4 linked regions of the Schizosaccharomyces pombe genome follow. The gene in region 2 interacts genetically with the main gene of each other region. Each region holds a gene or a part of one and is shown on either strand. Other genes may lie near its edges. The genes, in order: SPOM_SPAC9G1.08C, bud20, dni2 and aps1.

What was found.
Region 1: mutations in bud20 (region 2) and SPOM_SPAC9G1.08C together harm fitness more than expected from each alone (negative genetic interaction), as found in Schizosaccharomyces pombe (one large-scale study listed by BioGRID).
Region 3: mutations in bud20 (region 2) and dni2 together harm fitness more than expected from each alone (negative genetic interaction), as found in Schizosaccharomyces pombe (one large-scale study listed by BioGRID).
Region 4: mutations in bud20 (region 2) and aps1 together harm fitness more than expected from each alone (negative genetic interaction), as found in Schizosaccharomyces pombe (one large-scale study listed by BioGRID).

The regions. Positions count from the first base shown.
Region 1 is NC_003424.3:1,981,460-1,987,971, reverse strand, and holds SPOM_SPAC9G1.08C (phospholipase), read left to right. Parts: upstream 1-2,622; 5' UTR 2,623-2,678; coding exon 2,679-3,404; 3' UTR 3,405-3,533; coding exon of another isoform or gene 3,534-3,719; 3' UTR 3,720-3,764; coding exon of another isoform or gene 3,765-4,790; 3' UTR 4,791-4,849; downstream 4,850-6,512. Other genes in the region: inp53 (inositol polyphosphate phosphatase), read left to right, coding at 1-463, 501-609; PAK-like GC kinase Sid1, read right to left, coding at 744-2,042, 2,099-2,215; putative mitotic spindle organizing protein Mzt1, read left to right, coding at 2,428-2,622; SPOM_SPAC9G1.07 (Schizosaccharomyces specific protein), read right to left, coding at 3,534-3,719, 3,765-4,790; cytokinesis protein Cyk3, read left to right, coding at 5,865-5,931, 6,015-6,512.
Region 2 is NC_003424.3:4,902,918-4,908,259, reverse strand, and holds bud20 (zinc finger ribosome biogenesis protein), read left to right. Parts: upstream 1-4,026; 5' UTR 4,027-4,083; coding exon 4,084-4,160; exon of another isoform or gene 4,161-4,219; coding exon 4,220-4,517; 3' UTR 4,518-4,842; downstream 4,843-5,342. Other genes in the region: rsm22-cox11 tandem protein cox1102, read right to left, coding at 1-1,282; yip11 (SMN complex subunit Yip11/Gem2), read left to right, coding at 1,866-2,032, 2,138-2,486, 2,561-2,752; sst2 (AMSH-like ubiquitin-specific protease), read right to left, coding at 5,043-5,214, 5,259-5,342. UniProt on the Schizosaccharomyces pombe protein: Involved in pre-60S ribosomal particles maturation by promoting the nuclear export of the 60S ribosome.
Region 3 is NC_003423.3:1,181,310-1,186,640, reverse strand, and holds dni2 (claudin-like protein Dni2), read right to left. Parts: upstream 2,215-5,331; coding exon 1,526-2,214; intron 1,375-1,525; coding exon 1,317-1,374; downstream 1-1,316. Other genes in the region: SPOM_SPBC4.02C (rRNA methyltransferase), read left to right, coding at 1-1,024; protein Trm734, read right to left, coding at 2,537-3,796, 3,850-4,498, 4,552-5,331.
Region 4 is NC_003424.3:196,845-202,751, forward strand, and holds aps1 (diadenosine 5',5'''-p1,p6-hexaphosphate hydrolase Aps1), read left to right. Parts: upstream 1-3,193; 5' UTR 3,194-3,390; coding exon 3,391-4,023; 3' UTR 4,024-4,673; downstream 4,674-5,907. Other genes in the region: chs1 (chitin synthase I), read right to left, coding at 1-1,871; SPOM_SPAC13G6.13 (uncharacterized protein), read left to right, coding at 2,040-2,387; rcn1 (calcipressin), read right to left, coding at 5,643-5,907.

The sequences.
Region 1 (6,512 bases), 2.9 Mb from region 2:
ACGAAGTTTGTGTTTTGCATGGTGATTTAAATTATAGAATCAACACATTGAGACCTAAAGCTTTAGATTTAATTAAAAAAAACGACATAAAAACTTTGCTCCAAAGCGATCAGCTTCTTGTTGAGCGAAAAAGAAATGCCGGATTTCGTCTGAGAACATTTACTGAACCAGAAATCACGTTTGCCCCAACTTACAAGTACGACGTTCATAGTGAGCAGTACGACAGTAGTGAAAAAAAGCGTGTGCCTGCCTGGTGTGATCGTATCTGTTATCGTGGAAGTCCCGACTACATCTCTGCAGAAAACTATACCAGGTACGAACTGAAGGCATCAGATCACCGACCAGTATCTGCTTTAATACATTCCAAAGCGAAGATGGTAAATGCGCAATCTCAGGGGTCCACATGGGACGTGGTCAAACGAAAGTGGATTGAGTATGCTGATGAATTTAAGAGAAAGGCTAAGTATGTTTTTTTTTGGAGAATTTTGCTAACCAACCAGAATAACCTATGTCATGAATTATACTTCTGTGTCTTATCAAACGGCTGAACAATATTTGTCTGGAAATAACTGGAATGTACAAAATGCTTTAAAGCAAGTGTCAAGTTGATTTCGAATAGTTCTCGTTTGGATGTGTTTATATATATTATGTAGATTAAATTATAGTAGAATATGCCATTATAAGTTCATTTAAATACAAAATTGTGAATGCTGTAAACAGGTTGTTTACGAGTTTTTAGTAAGCTATCCATTTAGACTTCTTCTTTTCTCAGTTTCTTCAAGCCACCGTGAAAATAGTAGTTGTGATATGGGGCTCCGCTTTTGCTTTTTGTGATGCAGTCTGTTGTCTGGAGTAATTTGGTTAACAAATTTTGAGGACAGATTTTTATCTAAAGAAATGAAAGATGTATAAAAAGATTCTAAAGATGAGCGCTGCGTTGCTGACAATTTATCATTTAATAACATCGATCGTATGGTGGACTTAATATAATGTTTCATAGCAAAATCGGAAGTCAACGATTTATGATAAGAGCTACCTTTTTCAGACAATGACTTGGAAAAAGGATGCGGTGTCGCTTGATCACTCATTATAGTTTTCTCTAAATATTTTATTGATGAAGGCAATTCCTCTTTATTTTGTGAACTGATGATGGAATTTTTAGGAATGCTAGTATTCCCTAACACAGTTGAGTCAGATTTCTTTACAGTTTCAAATGTCCAATCCTCAATGTCAGCATTTCCTTCAGCAATTGGTTCTTCAAAGGGCTTTAAAGTATTATTTATGGTTTCTTCCAATACACTTTGATCCGAATCATCAAATAATTTATTCTCCTTCTGAACAAGCAAAGGAATAATGTCTTTCACAGTTCCTGCGCTTTTGATGAATGGGTGTTGAAGGAGTTCTTTAGCTGACCATCGCATATTAGGATTGAGATCTAAGCAGCAGGACACAAAATCACGGAATGTTGGACTGAAATGATCATCTAGCTTTGGAGGCTCGGATTGAGGAATTTCAAAGATGACACGCATTGGATGCATTGTAGCGCGGGGCGGAATTCCGTTAGCCATTTCAATAGCCGTAATTCCAAGAGACCAAATGTCAGCAGCTAAACCATAACTTGTTTGTTGTATTACTTCCGGTGCCATCCAAAATGGCGTTCCAACAAACGTGTGTCTACGCGAAGCAGCGTTCGAAAGTTGAGCGGCAACTCCAAAGTCAGCAAGCTTTACGTTTCCGGTAGAGGAAGATAGTAGTATATTGGCGGCTTTGATATCTCTGTGGATTTTGTTTTGTCCATGAAGATAATTTAGCCCATAAAGGACCTCTCGAAGAATGATTGAAATTACTTGTTCATTCAACCTTCCCATTTTCAAAAGTCCCGAAACTGATCCTCCATCCATATGCTCCATCAAAATCCATAATGTGTATCCGTCAACAAAACAACCGTAATACTGAATTACATTGGAACTGTTGCAATTCGATAACATAAATACCTCTTGTTCGATGTCGGTAATGTCGTCAATACCTGTTTCTAAATCAATCTGCAACTGTAAGTTTTTTGTGATACTAAAGAAGAGTAAAAATTAATTAGTCTTACCTGTTTAATAGCGATAATGTCGCCAGACACATTTTCACGTGCTTTCCAGACAACCCCAAATGAACCTGATCCTAATTTCCGTAGCAGAGTATAAGAATTAGCATTGAGAGGATACATTTCATCAATATTTTGACTGCTCAAATCTGAGGTTGAGCCTACTTTCGGTTTCGTTTTACAAGCACAAGCTAGATGCACCACGAAGTACTTTGTTTATTACTTAGAGGATTATAATGAGCTACTCCGAGACGCCTATTCCAGTAAACTTAACATTACCAACTTGTTACGAAGTATATATAATTAGACTAGTTTATTATAAAGTATCGAGTTTTATGTCTGAATCTACCAAAGAGACAATAGAAGTTTTATACGAAATAGGAACATTGCTTGGAACTGAACTTGATAAAACAACGCTTTCACTCTGCATCAGTCTTTGTGAAAACAACGTACACCCAGAAGCAATAGCTCAAATAATTCGGGAAATACGTATGGCTCAGGAACAAACTGTTGACACAGAACCAAGTTAATGGCAAGAAGTTTAATCTCAATAGTTGACCTCGGGGTTTAGTATTTCTTTTATCTAATGTCTTCTTTAAACAGTGTTCTACCTTCAAATGCATGCGCAGAGATTATTGAAGGGAAAGACAAGGTTCACAATGTAGTTATTTTAATGCATGGACTTGGAGATTCTCACAAGAGTTTTGCAAATATGGCAAAGAACGTTCCGTTGCCCAACACTAGTTATATTTCCTTACGTGGACCATATCGATTACCATTAGATTTTGAAAATCCTGGAGGCAATTGGATGTGGGGAGAGGATGTCCATTTTGATCAAAACGGGGAACTGCAATCTGAAGCCGATTTCTCTAAAAGTTTTACGATGATTTCAAATTTAATTGGCAATCTACTCTCTTACGGTATATTATCTTCTAGAATATTTTTTTTCGGGTTTGGTCAAGGAGCTATGGTTGCTTTATATAGTTGTTATAAATTGTCTACTAAATACCAGCTTGGAGGGATATTTTCCTTTGGAGGTACTCTACCGCTATCCATAACTTTGCCCAATCATCCATTTCATGTTCCAGTGTATTTGTTTGAAAAGCGATTGCATTGTTCATGCAGCGAATATGAAGAATCGCGATTACGTAAAACATTTAAACCATTTCACCTCACATGTTGGAATCGTGATGATAAAACTGACATGCCTTCATCCCCTAGAGAATGGTATACATTCGTTCAATCTATTAGTAAACATTTGTATATTCACAACACGTTGTTTGAAGATGCAATTCCTCTTACATCTTTTTAGAATTGATTTATTTAAGTTAACATTTGTTCACAATAAAGTTAATATTCATTTGGGCATAGATATAACAATAACTCCTCTAGCCATTATGTGATTAAAATTAGTACGTTTACCTTTTGATCATTAAGATTTTCAATCGACAAGATAACTAAGATCCGGAAGCTTATCAACAATTCTATTAATTAGTTGATTTTGGTCAACTGTTTTTATATTTCCACGCCCTGCTCTCTCATTATTAAGAAACGAAGTATTGATCGATTGAATAACAGCCGGAGTGTCTTTAGGAGCTGACAATGAAGTAGAAGGTGAACTAAAATTCTGAAAAATTAGAGTATTTGGCTCAACTTGAGACTCTTCACTTACATCATCAACGGAAGCAGAAGCTAAATTCGATGAGTTTTTCGAGGTATCTTGGGAACTGACCCATGAACCCCATTCAAAATTATCAGAGGTTGGATCCGGGGAAAGAGACGTTGATGAATTTTTTTTCTTCGTTTCTCTAATTTTTTCTTCAGAGTCAAGTTTAGCGATTGATGAATGTTCTTCGACTTCATCAACTTTTTTACGATCCAAACTTAGTGGTGATTTTGGAACAACTTCATCCTCTTTATTTATTGAAATTGTAGAACAACTGTTGCTTTCCCTCTCAATCAATTTGACTGGGGAAGAAAGGAAAGTATTTGCAGATAATTTGTGATCCTGTTTAACAGCAACTGTATTATTTAAAAGAGCCGTAGAAGAAGAATAATCCTTGGGAATTTCATTCGATGATAAATTAGAAAAATCAAGTATATCTGAAGGAACATTTATACTGGAAATCTTGGTCGTAGAAAAATTAGATAAAGGAGACTGTTCCGGTAACAAAATATTTTTGTCATTGATGGGCGGTGTGACAGGTGAATTGGTATAGCTTGCTGTTTTCCTTTTCTGCTTCTGATAAGCTGTTGACCAACAAAAAAGCACATTGCTTTTTCGATTTACATTAGACCGTTCTTGGTTCCATAAAGTCATATGTTCTTTAAGTAAACGACTAATGGTTCCTTGTTTTAGTTCTCCTAAACTTTTCTCATTGTATCCTAAGCGGATTAATTGTCTAAAATTGGTTTCCGAGGTAGCTGTAATACCTATATAATCTTTGGATGCCAATGAAATCCGTTTAGGAGGCTTGACAACGCCAAATGTGTAATCCAACTTTTCATTAATATCTTTCAAATTAAATGTGTCAAGATTGAGAGCATTTTCTTTCCAGACTGATGCCTCCATTGAAAAACTGACATCGTTAGTAATTGAGGGAATTGCTGAATTCGAGTTGGATATATTTTCACTACCCCATGCATTATGAGGATTAGAGGCGTTCGAAAAACTAACAGAGTTCAGCAAATCATCCATATAAATCACATTCCAGTTCTTTAAGTTGTAGATTCTCAATTTAATAATATATGAGTGGATAAAAAAAACGTAGGTGCCATCAACTTCGGGTTAAAAAGAAAACAAAAAGAGCCTTAACTATACTTCTTTTATAAAAGGAACCTTTTTAGAGTATTAGTATAAATGCTCAAGATGAGTTGAAAGCGGTTCGGCTAGGGTAAGCGACTTAAGCCACCACATCGTGTGCAACGCAAGTAGGCAACTTAAATCCGTTCAACGTATTTAGTGTGAAATTAAAAATAAAATAAACTCAATTAAATTTCCGGAAGAAGAATAAATTTTATAAGTAATCATTTTAAAATAGGACAGAGTTTTTTAACAAATTTTAAGCTAGTAAACAATTAATCTAATACTCTGGCGAAAGTTGCTAGCTTTATTAAAGAGGAATCTCATATGGACTGAAGCATCGTGCAAATTTTTGAAAATTACATTTGGTAAATTAAAACCTAGATTATTTCATCTAAATAATATGGCTTAAAGTGCGCATAAATATGGATGCTGGTTTCAAATCATTTGAATATTATGTCTTGTGCAAAAAGCTCTTTAAAAAAATTACAGAAGTGCAAATGTACCACATATTTCAAGTTAAAATGAACCCTTCTAGGACTTCTAACAATTTTAGTAAATTTTCTCACTAAATCAATTATAATCTACATGAAATGAATCTAACATCGCACTCTTTATCGTTAAAGAATGTTTCATGGTAGCCAAATATCTTTCTTTTTTTAATTTTCCTAAAATGAAATTCTAGTATGGTTGAATTTATTACCGATCTGCATTTTATCGAGTATTATTGAAAATATTTCCATTTTTTAATTGTGCGCTAAGTATATAAGTCGCGTTATTAGAAAAATTATGATGTACTCGGTTAATTGAGCTCTAAAAAAAAAACAAAGTTATTAGTGTACTTCGCTTAAATAAGAATCTTATCTTCACATTCATACACAACTCACATCACGTTACGGAACTTCCGCTCCGCTCGTTTTTTATATTAACTACCAAAGACTATAATTTCATTCCTTTAAGCCTTCAGGAATGTCCATTCCTAAACAACTACCATGCATGGTACGTGCTCTGTATGCATGGCCAGGTGAACGTGAAGGTTCGTAACATTTAAAGATGCTGTTAAGTAACGTCGCAATTATTGATGTAAAGTTTAAAAAATATATATTAATGTGTTTTCAGGTGATTTAAAATTTACAGAAGGAGATTTAATAGAATGCTTAAGCATAGGTGATGGAAAATGGTGGATTGGCAGACATATCAATACTAATACACAAGGGATATTTCCTAGCAACTTTGTTCACTGTTTAGATATTCCCACGGTACGACCTGGCAGTTCTATGTCAAGAACTAGCGCTTCTAGCTTTAGATATTCTTCTCCTCAAAAAAGCTCTATAGACACCCCAATAACTTCATCTGATCAAGGTCTAACTCCTGATCTCGTTGGAAGCTCAAATGCTTTGAATAAACCAACCCGAGAGAGTGACTCACTAAAACACCAAAAAAGTCACCCCATGCTCAATTCGCTAGGATCAAGTCTGTCACTTAAGAAAAGCGTATCTAGACCGCCATCTTCAATGTCTCGTACCAACTTAGATGTCTCTTCCAGATGGGACAATACAGCCGATAACGACTCTCAGATTGATGCCCAAGATTTAAGTAGATCTACACCTTCCCCTT
Region 2 (5,342 bases):
CAATTATGACATGTCCATCTCGCTTCAGTGGAGGTCGAATTATACGTGGCCAGTTTTTAAGAGTTGGAGATGTAACATTCACATTTTCTAGTAAATCCTCATCATTCTTGAACCTTTGTGTGGTATTATTAAGCGGTCTAGTTATACCCTTTTGAATAACAACATAACTGTAATGAGAGCGATCCGAGGATCGACGATGAGAACGAGGGACATATAGACGGGAAAATGGGGATAGGAAAAAATGTTGTTTGAAAGAACAAATATTTGCTCTTACCCCATTTTCTATATCAATGGGGCAGCGACCATCGTGGGGACAGGGTGCTACAATATGGGCATTGAATTGTTTATCAGAAGTATTTTTACTTTTTTGCAATAGAAATGTTCTAGCTCTTTGAATCAAACTAAAGCCACGCTTTGTGCCTCGCTCGCAGAGCACCAAAAGACCACCATCATTTGACACGAGACTCCAAAGCGAACGAAGATAATCAAAGAGTTCTTTCTCCGATTTCATTTCAAGAAGCTTGTTAGATGCAATAACTAGAGTGTATGAATCCTTTTTACCCAATGGTAGACGGTTAAGCGTAACAGGGCTAGTTGGATTCGGCGAAGTTGACGGGTAAATGTTATGGTGAATATCATATATGATTTTTTTCAAAAATGGGTTCTCCTCAACAATTGAAACTGAATTAGGTGTGGGAAAGACTGAATAACTAGCTAGAGCACCAATACCTGGACCTTTACCGCAATCCAGTATATGTTGAGACTTGCAAGACACATCACTGTTTACAATTTTCAAGTCAGTCAATACGCTGTATAGAGAAGCATATTGATACGGCATAGACTGATGAATATAAGCTAAAACTTGGGGATCTGTCATAGTCCGAGTAGATTCATCTTTGAATGGCGCAGACAATGGAAGCTGAGATTCCGTAGCCAAATCTTTTTTAATATCATTAATAAATTTTTTAATTTGTCCTTTTTCGCTCTTTTTCAATAAATCGTCCACATATAGATTAAATTTTGTATGCAAACTAATATCACCACTTTTCTTTTGATCCTTTACCAAAAAGTCGAGTAAACTGGAAGCTTCTGGACGATGTGAAGAGATCAATTCGTTTTTATAATCAGAAAAGTTGTTTTGAACAGCTTGAAAATTTGCATTATACCACCTAATGGTAGTGGTTGTTCCATATGGTATGAGACATCGCTGATTTTGAAAAGTAAAGCAATTCCGTAAATTATAAAGAAACAGAATTTTATATCTGCATGTTAGAATGGGCATATGTGCTGCTCAAAACACCAATTCACCAATGAACAATGGGATTTGGGGATAAAGCACTGATCTGTATATTGTGTAGAGTAAGTGCCTGATTAAGTGGCCGCAGATGGTGTTACTTGCGTTGACAGAAGAATGAATAGTACAATTTCCTACATATCTATATGTTTTATGTTTATTAAATTAGTTCAAGGATAGGCAATTCTGTCTGAGTGAATATTCTCCCAGTTTTAGCTTCTTATACACTTCAAAAAAATGCAAAACTTTGAACTTCTTTGAAAATAAGAACAAGTAATAAATTTTATGATAGTAAAGGAATTATCAAGAAATAGCTAAAATTAGTTTTAGCATTACACTTGATCAAGATAGACTCTTCACATTGATAGTTCTACAGATACCTCTTTAACCTTACCATTCTATTATACTAGGGTAATCTTCGATTTACGAAACATTCCTTGTTAACTAACTACAAACGAAAAGTTGCCGGAAAAAAACAGCCTACATTCCTTGAGTATTTTCATGAAAATTCGGTAATTCTTTTCCATTTGGTTTATATGAGAAGTTTGCAATTGTACAATAATAATTCAAAATGCCCTCGAAAAGAAAAAGAAATCCTTTACAATATCAGACTTCAGGATCATTAGATGAGGAAACAAATCAACGCAGCGCTTTTCCACAAATCGACAACAATAGTGCTTCAGAATCTTTGGAATATGATATACCACTTGATGGTTTAGATTATTTAGCAACTGTGAGGTACGAACATTTATATATGAATTTTTGTGAAAATCGAAATTTGCAACATGAATGCTTTAATCTAATCATTGTAACAATAATTGGGCTTTTTACTGACAAGTTCAGAGAAGAAGCTCGCAAGCTAGTTCCATTTGTAGCGGCGCGTCGTGAGCCTGAAACAAGAGAAACCATTCCTCTTCGCAAATTGGAAATCGAGGCCGGCAAAAAAAGCTTTGACCCGTTTTTACGATACTTACTAAACATAATTGATAAAGAAGGGGAAAGGCTTGAGCAATATATGGAATCTTCTTCATTGGACGCATCTATTTTACCTAAAAATTTACAACAATGGCGTGTATATATTGAGCATAAAGCTCCTTGTTGGGCCATATTAGCAGTGGTTGATTTGGCAACTGTTTTGGAGATCCTAGAAAGCTTGTCCAGCTGGCTTGAAAAGGACGCAATTGATTTACAGGTTGGTAACAAGGATCTCATGCTACTTTGCTGGTGTATTTTTGTTCATTCTAAAATTTGCTAACATTTTTCTAGAGTCAATGGATTTTTTGCTTTTGTTATAAACTTCCTGAGCTTTTGAATGGAGAAGATATATCGACCCTACGTTCAGTACTCAAGTCTTTACGAAGTACGCATACTTCTTTTCCTGCTCTGCAGATGTCAGCATCTGCCCTTCAAGCAGTCTTAGTTTATCGATATGGACAAAAAGATCTCTTTCAAACATAGAGTCTATAAATCTTGGTCGAAAAAAATTTAGGTACACATGTTCATATAGCATACGTTTGTTTATAGGGAAAAAATTAAAATTGATAGCTTGTTTTAAATATGTTTTTAGGATATTATTACTTTTTTGAATGAAAACATATGCTACACGGATATGCTGGGCTTTGCATCTTTGAACATGTGATTAAGCAAGCTTGGAGATAGCTGCAATAAACAATTTGCCTATTACAAATCGATAGATATATTTTAAAAAAACACGTTTGAATTGAGATAGGCAAAGTTATTTGTTTATTGATTCACATTTTCATTTTACAAAAAATGGCTTACTATTTGTTTAGTACGTGCATTCGTTTTGCTGTCTGCATACTTGTCGAATCGAGGGTTTCAATTATGTTATTACATGATAACTAGCAACTTTCTTTAATTCGCGCCCCATCTTACGAAATTAACTAATAAATTTTTACTGTCTTTTTCGACCGAGTGATTTTTTACCCATATGAGGTTTTTCAAATTCAAAACTAATTGAACATTGCAATTATTCTTTGGGAAAAAACAAAAGTCAAATAAAGATAAAATAAAAAAGAAATAATTACAACCTCACTGCCAAGAACCCCTTCGTGGTTAATTGAATCTTTTGAGTTCGAGCAATCAAGCTCCTTTTGTAAAACTAAATGTCACTAAAATTGCTCACACTTCAGTATAGCAGTCTAAATGGAGAGCTCAATTTTTTCCTTGCTGATAAGCGGACTCTGATCTCGCTACGTGAATACTTTCTTTCCTTCGACTAAACGTCAACTTGTCGAGACTTTGATGAAATAGTGGCAGTTAAAGCCAGAAAGCTACTGAATGTTAATTCATTTCTTCTATAGTTGCCATGTACTAAGAATCACGCCTAAAGCAATTTTCCCTAATAAATTCCGATGCTAAACATCCCTTAAATTACAAAGTTTTGTCAAACGATGGAGCAATCGTCGCTTAAAAAGCGCAATTTCAAAGGCATGCATTTCAACTTGCTTTGACCATGCTCTCCCAAATTTTGAACGAATATTTATTTATTAAAAAATTTACGCTACTTGAGCTATTCAGAACAATCAATAATACATATCTAATACATTTCTCTTGCTTTTCAACTATATAACGAGGCTTTCCTTCTCGTTATTAAACTTATCGCAAACTACGATAGGAAAATAAGATTATTTGAGAATTATTTTTCACTATACGATATAGCACACATTACGCCGTTTGGATATTGAATGTGTTTACGCTTAAAAAAGTTTATCCTTTGCAACTAACATTGTAATTGTGGTAAACGGGTTTGTTTGAAGTGACGGACAATGGGAAGAGTTGCCAGAAAAAGAAAGCATCATAGCAATGGAAATCATGCTTTGTTTAGAACTCGTGTTTATGGGAGGTATGCAAATTTCATGGTCATTCAATCATCGTTTGGTAAATTAACAATTGGACAAATAGAGACTTAGATCAGATTCACAATGACTTAACAGAGTCTGAGAAATTTGATAAATTACCTATAGATCCGGATTTGCCAGGTTTAGGTCAACATTATTGCATTGAATGTGCACGGTACTTTGACTCGTCTCAAGCATTGCTGGTGCATAAGAAGGGAAAGGTTCACAAACGAAGGTTAAAAAATTTGCGTGAAGAGCCGTATACACAAGAAGAAGCAGAAGCTGCGGTGAATATTGGACAGCCAAAACAGAGTGTAGCTTCCAAGCTTGCTGACAATAGTAACGTTGTCATGGCGGACTAAACTAGAGACACATTTACGAATGCTAAGTTAGTCAGCACTTTTGCTTTTGTTCCATATTCGTAGCGCATGCTCTTTATTTAAACAGATTTTTATATGTCTCATTCTCATTTATTCTGCTATATTATCATTAGCAGCGTTTATTGGTAATTTTAGTTGCATCCATGTTTGGATTACAAATTTACAACTAATACCTTACCATTGGTTACTGGATGTTAATCTAGCTTCAAGAGTGAGCATCTCAAACTACCTTCACGTTATTTTGGTTTCTTTGGATACATGGTGTTTTAAATAAATAAAATTTTTTTGATAATTTTTTCATAACGCATTCGCTATCATTTAACAAAATCCTCGTAAAAAAACAAATTCATCAAAGAACGTTTCATTAGACGCATAGATTCATTTCCTATAATGAACTTTCCGTAGCCACTACCATGTTACAAATACCATTAGTTAATTCATAAGTGCCTGGCGTCTGTAAGATGAACCAATAATAGAATAAAAGAAGTGTTACTATTGCATCCTTACCTATTTAACCCTCAAATCAACAACTTGAAGTTTCGAGTTAATTTCTCTAACATGCCCAGGCTGAGCAACCATCGTATAAACTTTTCCCTCATGTGGATGAAAAAGCCCAGGTTTTCGACACTTGACTATAGTTTGTAGTCCCTCAGGATCTAATAAACGGAAGATGCCAGAGCTAAAAGTCGTTAATATATGTAGAAAAAAAAATTTTTTTCTTACGTATTTTTGGAAGGAGCCATAACAATTGCAATAGCTTCAGGTAGCATAAGCTGGTATGAACAATGAGTATGCAAATCCACGCTA
Region 3 (5,331 bases), on a different chromosome or scaffold from region 2:
TGTTTCACAAGCCAGAGAATCGATACGTCGACCTGATGTTTTAGCGGTATTACTTACTGGCCGCAACGAAGGGTTTCGAGGAATCGTGGAAAAAATCATTGCAAGCAAGGGTTTAGATTTCCAAGGGGTTGTGTTTAAACTTCAAGCTCCTGACGGTTTTTGGCCCCAAACACTCAACTTTAAGCTTTGGTTTTTTAATGAAGTTTACCGTCATTTCCTATATATTAACTCCACGAGGATATATGAAGATCGACCCTCCCATATAGAAGCATTTTCTGCCTGGTTGACAGAACGAAAAAAAAAGAATAAAAATGCAGATTTTGAAATTATTGCTGTCGCCGAACCTCCCAAGTATTTGAAGTTCAAAGTTGAGATTGCTCTTGTACGTGGAATGCTCACTGCCCACAATTTGAAAGCCCCATCTTTGAAATTACCCTTATACAAGTTTGTGAAGAATGTGATAGCAACTGTTGTTACGGTACCTGTCGCAGAGCTTCACCATATTCGCAATGCTTTTTTTAACATACCAATTGCTGAAATAATGGAAAGTGTTAGCGCTAATTCTTCACGTAGGAATTCACACGATTCTAATTCAACAATTATATGTGAACCCGAATATCCTCCAGATACGTCTTTTAATAGTAGCCCTGGCCGCTTGTGGATTGTTACGGCGATTGGAAGATATCGTGACGAGTACTGGACGGTGCGTGCTGAGGCTGCAGAAGGATATGACTGTGAAAAAATACACGAAATTGATGTCGCCGATATCCCTTCTCTTTATGGCACTATATTATACGTGTCCATGTCAACTGGTATTGTAAAATCGGAGATTGGAGATATTGGAGCTCAGCAGTGGAAGACATTAGCACCTTCCGAGCGATGGATTCTTCGTACAAATATCAGAAAAGAATGTACATATGACATTCGATACAAACGACCTTATGTATCGTCGTTGAAATATTCCGATGATGATTTGACTGCTGGTCGTGCTTCTCCTATGACTGGTCCAACAAAACGCAAGTAAAGTTGAGTATTTTCCATCCCTTTTCAAAAATATCCTTTATTAAGTTATGCTACTTTTCTTTTCTTTTCTCTTTTTTTTATTTAAGTCTCCCACTTTCAATATATTATAATTAGATTACCAATCTTAGGCATATACATCTGATCGTTTGGTTCGTAACATTTGCAATTTTAGATTGTCTGTTTTCAACATTAGTTAATTTATATTTAATGGTTTATGATTCATTAAAAGCTAATTCTCAATACATTTTTGCTCAAATTAGTAATATGGTTTACAAAATCTTATTTATGTTTGTTTAATAGTCTTTGCAAATGAAGTATTGTGTTTCAATTAATCTTAATTTAGTAGTAATGCTGTTTTATGTGTTAATTAAATGAAATTTAGTTATAGTTTTAAAAAAGTCAAAAGGGTATCTGTCATATACGTTTAAAGAGTATCATAAGTGCGATTTTACTTAATAGTAGTCATTTCAATGTCGTCCAACATTCTTTTCGTAATAATTACAAGCTAAATGAGAGAGATGTTTCTTCAAATAACTTTTGCTTGTTTCGTTCAATAGTCCAAAGTCCCAAATGTATTAGCGAAAATAGCAAAAAGAATCCACTGGAAATCCACCCAAAAACTGCTGCAGCTACCCCAAATTTTGCTGTAGCTTTCCCAGTTAAATTCATTCCTACAGCATATGAATTAGCCGAAATATGAGCTAAAGCCATTTGGAGTGCTAAAAGCAAACAGGCGGCTGTACTAGTAGTTAAACAACTTATTGACCATTGGCGTATGTATGCAGGAGCCAAGTACTTTAAAATAGTCAAAACAATGGATAGTGTTGAAAATACAACAACAATCGCGAGGAGAACAGGATGAACTTGAAGCCACGCAAATCTCGAAGTTTCATATGCTAAACCACCAGTTGTTTGATCCCAATTTCGAAGCTCATGGCAAACTCGAGACGTTGAATTAATAGCTTGATCACACACTCCAAAGAAACCGACGTCTACGGTGGTTGTTTCATTCTTTACTCTTAGTAATCTCGCAAAAATAGATGATTTCGTTAAGCAGCTGCAACATAAAAATATTAAAAAAAGCCATGCAATTCCTAAAATAGCATTCGAAAAAATACTAGGATGAGGAATATAGTTGTATATTCTTGCAACAAGTCCAATCCAGCTGAATTTACTAGTTCCTCTTTCCATTCTTAAACCGTAATTTTAAATTGTTTACTTTAGCAAAATTAGTTTAGGGATAGAAGAACTATTATGGAATGTAAGTCTATTATAATACTTTGAAACAAAGAAATTTTTGACACGTAACTGTTATGTTTCTTTGTCTTCGAGGACAAAGAAATTATGAGTACTACACATACTTAATACCGATAAATGCTGTGCCGCCTTTCAATCAAATCAATTATTTATTATTTTTAAACCATCGTCATGATAAATGAAAAGATAGGTCCCTTGAAGTGTATAAGAGTAAACTGAATGAATAGGCGAGTAGTAGACATTATTGAGCAAATAATCATCGTAAAGAACCCAGTCTAAAAACTTCGCAACCAATTCCGTAAATTATCAAAAAATCATTATTTCGGATCATGCCACCCACATCAGCTACGTGAGTATATCTTTCCAGGATCGGTTTCAATGAATCACCCTCGACTTTCCATAGTAATATCCTTTGGTCAATGGATACACTCAGCAAAAGCTCTTTGGTAATTGATAAAACACCTGTAACACTGGAAGCATGAGCTTCAGCAAAAAAGTAGTTATGTAAAGAATTGACTACTACTGAATTTTCACTTATTTGTTCTAACAAAAGTATAGATCGAGAAATTGCACCATCATCACCACCCGTAGAAATCGTTAACACATCTTGATCCCTGCTAATATTTAATGACTTAACACAAAATTGATGCACTGTTTTTATCCAAATTATTAATGGCTCAATTTGAGGATCCCTCCAAAATGTGTTCCAAATAGCAACATTACCATCAGTCGAAGCAACCACCAACAATAAATGAGACCCGAAAATAACAGCCTCGGCAAAAACCAAACAAACTGTCTTATATTTCCAACTTTTTATACAATTTAGCTGCTTCGTATCTACGTTATAAGTGAATGCTTTGATAGTCGAATCGGACTGTACAGTATTAATCCATAACACTCTTTCACCCAGATGGGTTGCCTTTACAACAGAAATGTCAGTTATTCGAAGATCCCCATCGTAAGTCTTGTTACTTTTATTTGGTTTGCAGAGTTTTTCATGAACGATCCGTTTCAGATATGCCTCTGGCTTTTGTATTAGCCTATAAACATTTAACTCTTCAAGACCACCAGTGGAAAATAAAATATCATCGCTAAACCAGGTCAGCGATTGGATTCCTGAATTATGAAACTTGACAGAATTCAGAGGAATTATGTTTCCATTACTCTGAAACTCAAGCAGGGTTACTTTAGTATCTTCAGATCCTGATAATAAAAGATCCCCTGAAGGATTGAAATCCATTGCTCGAATCTCACGCCCATGCAAACCATTTTGTAATACAGAATTTCTTTGCAAAAGATTTAAAGCAGTGCTATAAATATAAAGTTGATTTGCTCTATAAGATGCAAAACTTTGAATGTCCATCTCCATTGAAAAAGCCCATGGACGATGACTACCTCCACAATCAATAAAGAAAACATTAGTTTCATTTGTCTCATCCCTTAAAAAAAAATTTGATGCATGAAAACCCCAAACCCATTGATTTTCCTTTCCATTTTTTAATTTTTTACACAAACCCTAGCATATGTTAGCTGAACCATGAACCGTATATTCTTAAAGATAATACTCACCCCGCTTAGTATACCATCACAACATTTTTTCGAACACAGCTCCTGAGGAACAGCACTTTTTTCTACCCTCGGAATTGAAAATAAATTGACATAACCATCACGTCCGACTGTTTGAATTAAGAGGTAATCACGTTTTGACGACTTGATGTGAATGGATGAAATTGCATCAAATTCATGAATTCTCCTCCATACAGAAAGGTAGTTGCTTTCACCAATATTGTACAAAGCCAGCGATCCTGTTCGAGAACCAATTAAAAAATTTGAATATTCTTCATCAACTGTAAGAGAAGTCGGATCAAATGTTGCCGGCAACTCCAGTTCTATTGTTGAAATTAGGTTGACCTTATCGGCTTCAAAATCAAATTCCTGTAAGTAAACTCGAAATTGGTTTTTTCCTACAAATGATTTTGATAGTAGAAAATATCTTTCTTTAACTTGATAAGTAAGCAGTTGCTGAATCTTTCCCCTATGCAAATCAATAGCTTTTAATAAATTCGTATTTTGATATGAAAACACATATATAGTACCTTTGTTGGAGGCAGCAGCAACAAAAAAAGAGTTTTTCCAAGAACGAATTATAGACATGTCCGATGTGGTAGTCAAAGCAGGAATAGCTTTTTTTCCTTTATTATCTATAATTGACATTTCTCTAAATTAATTGGGTTAGACAGATGAATATTTGATAGCATGCAAATCGCTTACCCATTTTTGGCAAGGCATAATAATTTTTGACATTTAACAAAACAAAAAGAAGCAAGCAAAGTCTTTGAGGTGAACAATGAGGATACTGAGATGCAGGATTCCTGAATACGAGTTTTGTAATCCCAAGACCTAACTGATCCATCATTTCCACCGGTATATATTATTGGGTTCGCAGAGGAGACAACTAGTGACCATATGTGTTTCCCGCGATGACCAGTATATGTGTAAGTATTAGTGAGCGTTTTATCATTCCAAGTCCAGAGACGTAAGGTCAAATCTTCAGAAACTGTGGCTATTTCTTTGTTGGGTAGAAACACGCAACGCCAAACACGAGCTGAGTGACCAAAGCCTGTCGCTATTAAAAAGGGTGACGACTCGATCGACCAAAGCCTTAGGGTACGATCTTCAGAAACTGAGCAAAGGTAACGTCCATCCGATGAAAACTTGAGATCAAAGCAAGCACCTTCGTGTCCAACAAGGTAGGTGTCAATGGAAACACAAGAAGGTGGATTGTTATAATTGAATTTCCACACGTAAATTTGCTGAAAAGCGGAAGCAGAAGCTATGTAAATTTCATTTCCACTTATTTGTACCGTTGCGCAAAACAAAAGAGGCGTTTTCTCGCAAGATATTGTATTTGTAACTTCCCACGAACCTTTACTTAACGAAAGAAGATGAACTTGATTTTTCGATGTAACGACGCAAAATTTATTTTCTTCACCAAGCTCCGCTGCATTAAATATCCAGTCAGATATACGGTCATAGTAAACTTGGCTCGTT
Region 4 (5,907 bases), 4.7 Mb from region 2:
CCCATTAATATAGAGTACATTATTACCATGGATAAATAAAAGTTCGGCGAGCCATGAGGTCGATTTCCTAAAGCTAATACAAAGCATGTCACCAATAAAGATGCGTAAATCCAAATTGCAATTCTAAATAGAATTTCTCCAGGTAGAAAATTAGCACTTGTTGATGCGAGGCTGGATGTCAAAATATAAAAAATTATGAAGAAGTTTCCAATGTTAAACCAACCAAAAACTATAGTTGCCAATTGGTAAATAAACTCAATAGATAACATAAATTTTCGCGAAATAGTATGTGAAGTCCTAAAAAACCTGTAGTAGTGACAGATAGCATAAGCGGCAGCAAAAAAACTCCCATTAAGCCATCTTCTTCGCTGTAGCACGAATTCTGGGATTCGATCTGGAACATCCGTATCGGCATATGCAGACTTTACATAATGCAAGATCCATGCTTCATTCTTTTTTGAAACTAGCTCAAAACACAGTATTCTGTCTTCTGCAAGATACATATTTGCTTCAAAAATCCCCGATTTTCCGGTATTTTGAAGTTCTCCTTTAAAGTAACTAGCCAAAGGACCATTTCCCTGAGAATCATTCTGTAAAGCTTCAAATCTGTATGCACTGAAGGCTCCTGGTAGTACGCTGATAAACCCAAACACGCTTTCTACTGGTTTGTCGAGTATATTGCTCATTTTATATTCAAAATTCTGAGTAGCTACCAATGGATTTATTAAACCGGAACCCAATTTTCCTTTCATAACGACAATTTCACCACAAGCGCCAGCAACTTGAGGATTCAAATCAAATGATTTCCATAAATGATAAATGGATTGGTCCCCCGGACGTGTTCCAGCATCTAAAAGAATGCACACCTCTGGCTTTAGGATTGGGCAAAACGCTTGAAAAAACCACAAATGGGAGTTTAGTTTTTTTTGATTTTTCTCCTTTAAACAAAATATCATCTGAACAGGAACAATACCTCTATCAGATCCTTTGAACTTTAAATTAGGGTCAATAGACAGCTGTGTAGTATATTCGTATATATGTGCTTTTACTTCCTTATCATTGACCTGATTTTTAGCAATTCCGTCTTGATAAACTCCGATTGCAGCTAAATAAGCAAGTGTTCTTGGATGTATCTTGGTGCGACCGTCAGAGATTATACACACAACGACTTTCTTCCAAGCGTCCTTCCCCCAAACTTGAGAATTTTTTCTTGTACATAAATGTGAAATATTCTTCATGACACTATGCATGGTACGAGCGAACAGAACTTCATCTTCATTGTACATAGTTATAGCAATACAAATTTCAGTTTTTCTCGGCTGAAAGAATAGGGGCTGCCTTAAAGTGAATAGGCTTTTCGAAAAGTCTTGTGGATCACATGTAGCAGCACTGTAGCGCATGTAAGCAAATTCTCGCTCTGTTTGCTGTGGAAGTGTAACCAATAACTTCTTAGGAATTGGACAATCGAGGATGAGATTGCCATGAAATAATTTAACTCGTTTAATACTTTTATTTCTTTGAATTTTTTCATTTGTTCTTTGGAAATTTGCCTCTCGGTTCATAGTATTTCCTTGCTTATTGAAGTTTGAAAAATTTGGTTGAGCAGTAAAACCTTCAAATGGAGATTGAATACTTTCCGTTTCATCTTTTAAATAATAATCGAGATCAAATTCTTTATCAGGAATAATGATTTTCGGTTTTAGAGGTTTTTTATTTTTATCAAATAAAATGGACGAAGTATCACTGTTTAATGACAAATTGGTGATTGTAGGATATAAGTGATTGGTTTCAACAATATCTTTATTTGTTAATCCAGCTGATTCCTCCTCATCAGGAGGGCGTGGTAGCGTTTTTTTGAACCACCTTCTCATCTTCAAGAGCCGTAGAAACGAGCCTCAAATCGCTCTATCAAATATACGCTTAGATTTTTTCTGTAAAGCAGCATCCAAGTTTATGATAGTGAGAATCAATTTTGGGGAGACAATTACAGTTGTAATGATTGAAACAATGGTTTGTTTAACCCTGAATGCTTGTCAACAATGTTTCAATTGCCAATGATTGTAGAAGCCAACGATATGAAAATAAAATATTATAAAAGAAGGAATTGTTATACTCTTTTAATATTTAAATACAAAGAGAGTAAGAAGATTAATGTTTACAAAAGAAAAAAAAGTGATGAGGTGGTGGAAGATTGCAACAAACTAAAGTGTACTTTTTTTATGATTGAAGAATGGCATTTACTCGCTATATTGTATGACAAATCTAAATACATAAAAATAATTATTTGTTCCGTATTGTTAAAACTAAATACAACTGTAATTATAAGAAGGAATACACATACCAAAGTTTATGTTATGAACAAATTTTATCAAAAGCTTAAAAAGTAAATCATATCTCATTATTTATTCATATAAAAAAAATTAAAAAATAACAATTTATACAATGGCTTGCTAAGGTATATAACAAAGCAAACGAAAAGCCAATTTTCTTCCAACATTACTCATTTTATTTAGATATATTATTATTTTAAACGATTTTCTTTTTATTCCAAACGTAATAGAAGTAGTTGAATTGTATAAATTATTGTTTTTTATATAATAAACATTTTTTTTCGCTATAATAATTGTTTTAAATAAAACAGATATTGGGAATTTAAATTATCCAATCTTTTTTTTGTTAAATTATTTTATTTTATTTTCCTCGACATTAAAATGCATCAACAATTGGTTAGTGTTAATTGATTCTCTTACTATCAATATTATCAGATTCAAAAAGCCCAACTTATCAAGAGTTAGTGAAGGAATCAGCAATGATCAGATAGAACAACAGAACAGTAAATACAATGCAAAACTTCGAAAACCGTGTATTAAAAGATTAAGACTTACAGATTTTCTACAAGCGTACTCCTTTTAAAAAGCCTCATTTTGTCCAAAGAATTGATAATGTGGGTATTTTTCGATGCGAAATCTACGAATACAAACAACTTCGCAAATTGGAGATTACTGCATACAAAATGAAAATGTATTTTCCTCGCAAGCTATTTATTTTGAAAAATTATAAATTACCTATTTTCTAATACAATCTCTCATTTTAAATATCACCGCAAATTATTTGGTCTCCGACAACTGTTTAGCGTGTCGGTTTGTACTTCACTATTTCGTTATCCCAACCTAAATCACTGGGAGAAACCTTCGGAAAACCACTTTTCGCGATCGATTTATATTCATCGGAATAGGAGATTTATATCTCTTCCTTGTTCAAAAAGAACTCAGATTCTTTTGAACATCTTGCTTTTGCCTTTTCAGACATCGTTTCCTTACTCTACCATAAGGCAAGAAATTATACCAAATCCATTCAACTTGTCGAAAAGAAGAGTACTTTATAGTTCATATGCTTGAAAATAACGGAAGTGTGATTTTAATGGAGCCGGATCATCTACGGACGGCAGTGAACCGCTCAATGACTTCTCGTGAAGGTCGAACGAAAAATCGATTCAATCCTATTACAGGAGCCAGACTTGCTGCGGGTGTTGTTGCTTTATCTGCAGACAAAAGGAAAGTCCTATTAGTTTCTTCTGCTAAAAAACATCCTTCTTGGGTAGTTCCTAAGGGTGGATGGGAGGCTGATGAATCTGTTCAGCAAGCTGCCCTTCGTGAAGGTTGGGAAGAAGGCGGACTAGTGGGTCATATCACTAGATCCCTTGGGTCTTTCAAGGATAAGCGTCCTACTGATACTATTGACAGAAGGAAAAAATATTTGAAGCAATTAATGTCAAAAAGTAGCGGAAATGACGTCTCAACCAATACCGAGTTAGGAGCCGAAGCAGAGAAATTATTACTTCCACCTAGAGCCGAATGTGAATTTTTTGAAGTTATTGTTGAAAGATTAGAAGACAATTACCCAGAGATGAGGAAGCGTCGCCGAAAATGGATGTCTTATCAAGAAGCAAAGGAAGCGTTGACAAGTCGTAAAGATATTTTGGCAGCTCTTGAGAAGAGCTCTATCATTAAAGAGGAAAACTGAAGTACAGATGCATAATGTTTACCATTTGCAACCTTTTATTCAAATATTTTAATTTACCATTTTTTTTGATTTCTTGCTTCAATATTTATCTTTTTCCATGGGATTACGAAATTGTTATATCTATTAGTTACCATGTCAAGTGTGTTAAAAAGGCTTGAAGTTTGCAAATCTTGATTCTTATTTTTTTTTTCAGCAAGCTGGGTCAAATTGAGTTTTCGACATAAAGCTCATTTCATGAAACATATATCCTTTAAAGGATTTCAGCGGTACAGCATATATTCCAGCAGTTCAACTGCTATTTTTTCTTTCCTTTTTTAAAAGTTTTTACTCTCTTTGTATATTTTCGATTAAGATCATTGTCTGCATAACATACTAATTCTATTTATAAATATATTTTCAATTGAATCGCATGATAATTCAAATTTTTTAAAACAAAGTTTCATTCCTTAAAAAATCATCTAATCCCACCTGTTTGATGCTAGGGTGCGAGTTAATCGTTATCGTTGTGTGCTATGCATAAAAAGCACATTAGTTGCTAGCATATTAATTGTTTGCAACCAATTTTGATTAGTGACGTTAATAAAAACAAAATTGTTCCATACGGTAAAACGTATTCGTTGTTAGATACTAATGAGCCCAAGAAGTTTCGTGTGTCAATTTGAATATGTCGTGTAATTTTATATTGGCTTTCAGCAATCATATAGCTATGAATTATAGTGAATCCATTGACGCTCATTACACTTACGTGCGATAATTTTAAAAAATACTTTTCAATTAGTAGTAAATAGATAGCGAAACGACGAACTATAGCAAACATCAATCCGTTAGTATAAATATTCGTACAAAATGCTTATATAAGAATTTGAGAATTACTTAATATATTTGATTGACGTTGTTCAACGTGAAAATGTACATAAAAGCAATTTATAACCACACCTAAAAATCCAAACAAACTGCAAAATTAAAAACGTAGGATTTAGCAGTTATGTTAGTAAAGCTTCAGCTATCAGAATAAAAAATTTTTAGAAAAAGAAACAAGAAGAAAATACATATATATATTTTTATTTTCAGAACTTTGACGGTCATAGCCAATTCTTTTAAAAATGAACTAAATAGCACTGTCTCACATTCTAACAATTGTCGTTAATCCTGTTAGATCCCAGCATAAGTTTCTGGATCTAATCTGAACGAGAATGTAACGTTTCACAGGTAAATAACTTTGAAGACATAGGGCATAATAGGATAAATAATTGATGAAACAAAACTTTTAATATGCGTTAGTTTAGCCAGGTCAAATTCAACAAATCACTAACAATCTGAATTACGGAAATATCTTTCACATAACTATAGATCCTTAATTTCAAGACAGTTACTGGGAGCAAGTCGTTGACCGTAATAAAGATAACCATAGTTTTCCAATTAAAAAAAGTGAAGTTTTGGAATCGAGCTGTTTTAGAATTCACCCATCTTAATCTTGATTTGAAAATGTCGATTTTTTTTTCTTTCAAAAAAAAAGCGTTGAAGCAAGAACAAAACTTTGTAAATTGAAGCCAAAAATAAACGCATATGCACAAAAAATTTAAATAGAAAAAGAAAAGAAAAAGAAAATTGAGCAAGAACTAATGTTCAAATTGCCTGGATGGCGATGTTTCCTTTGTATTGTTATGTTCAGAAATTACGATTTGTGGTCCAGCGGAATGATCGTTCAAAAGGGCATTACCTAATTCATCCAATTTAAGCTGAATATCATGAGCTAAATGTTGCGAATTGGGAGATTCTTCAACAATAGGTTCCCATCCTACAGGTGGAGATCCAGGAGGGCTAATAAGCCAATTCTTCTCAAACTTCGGAACCTGTAACGATTGGTCTACAGAAATTCCTTCA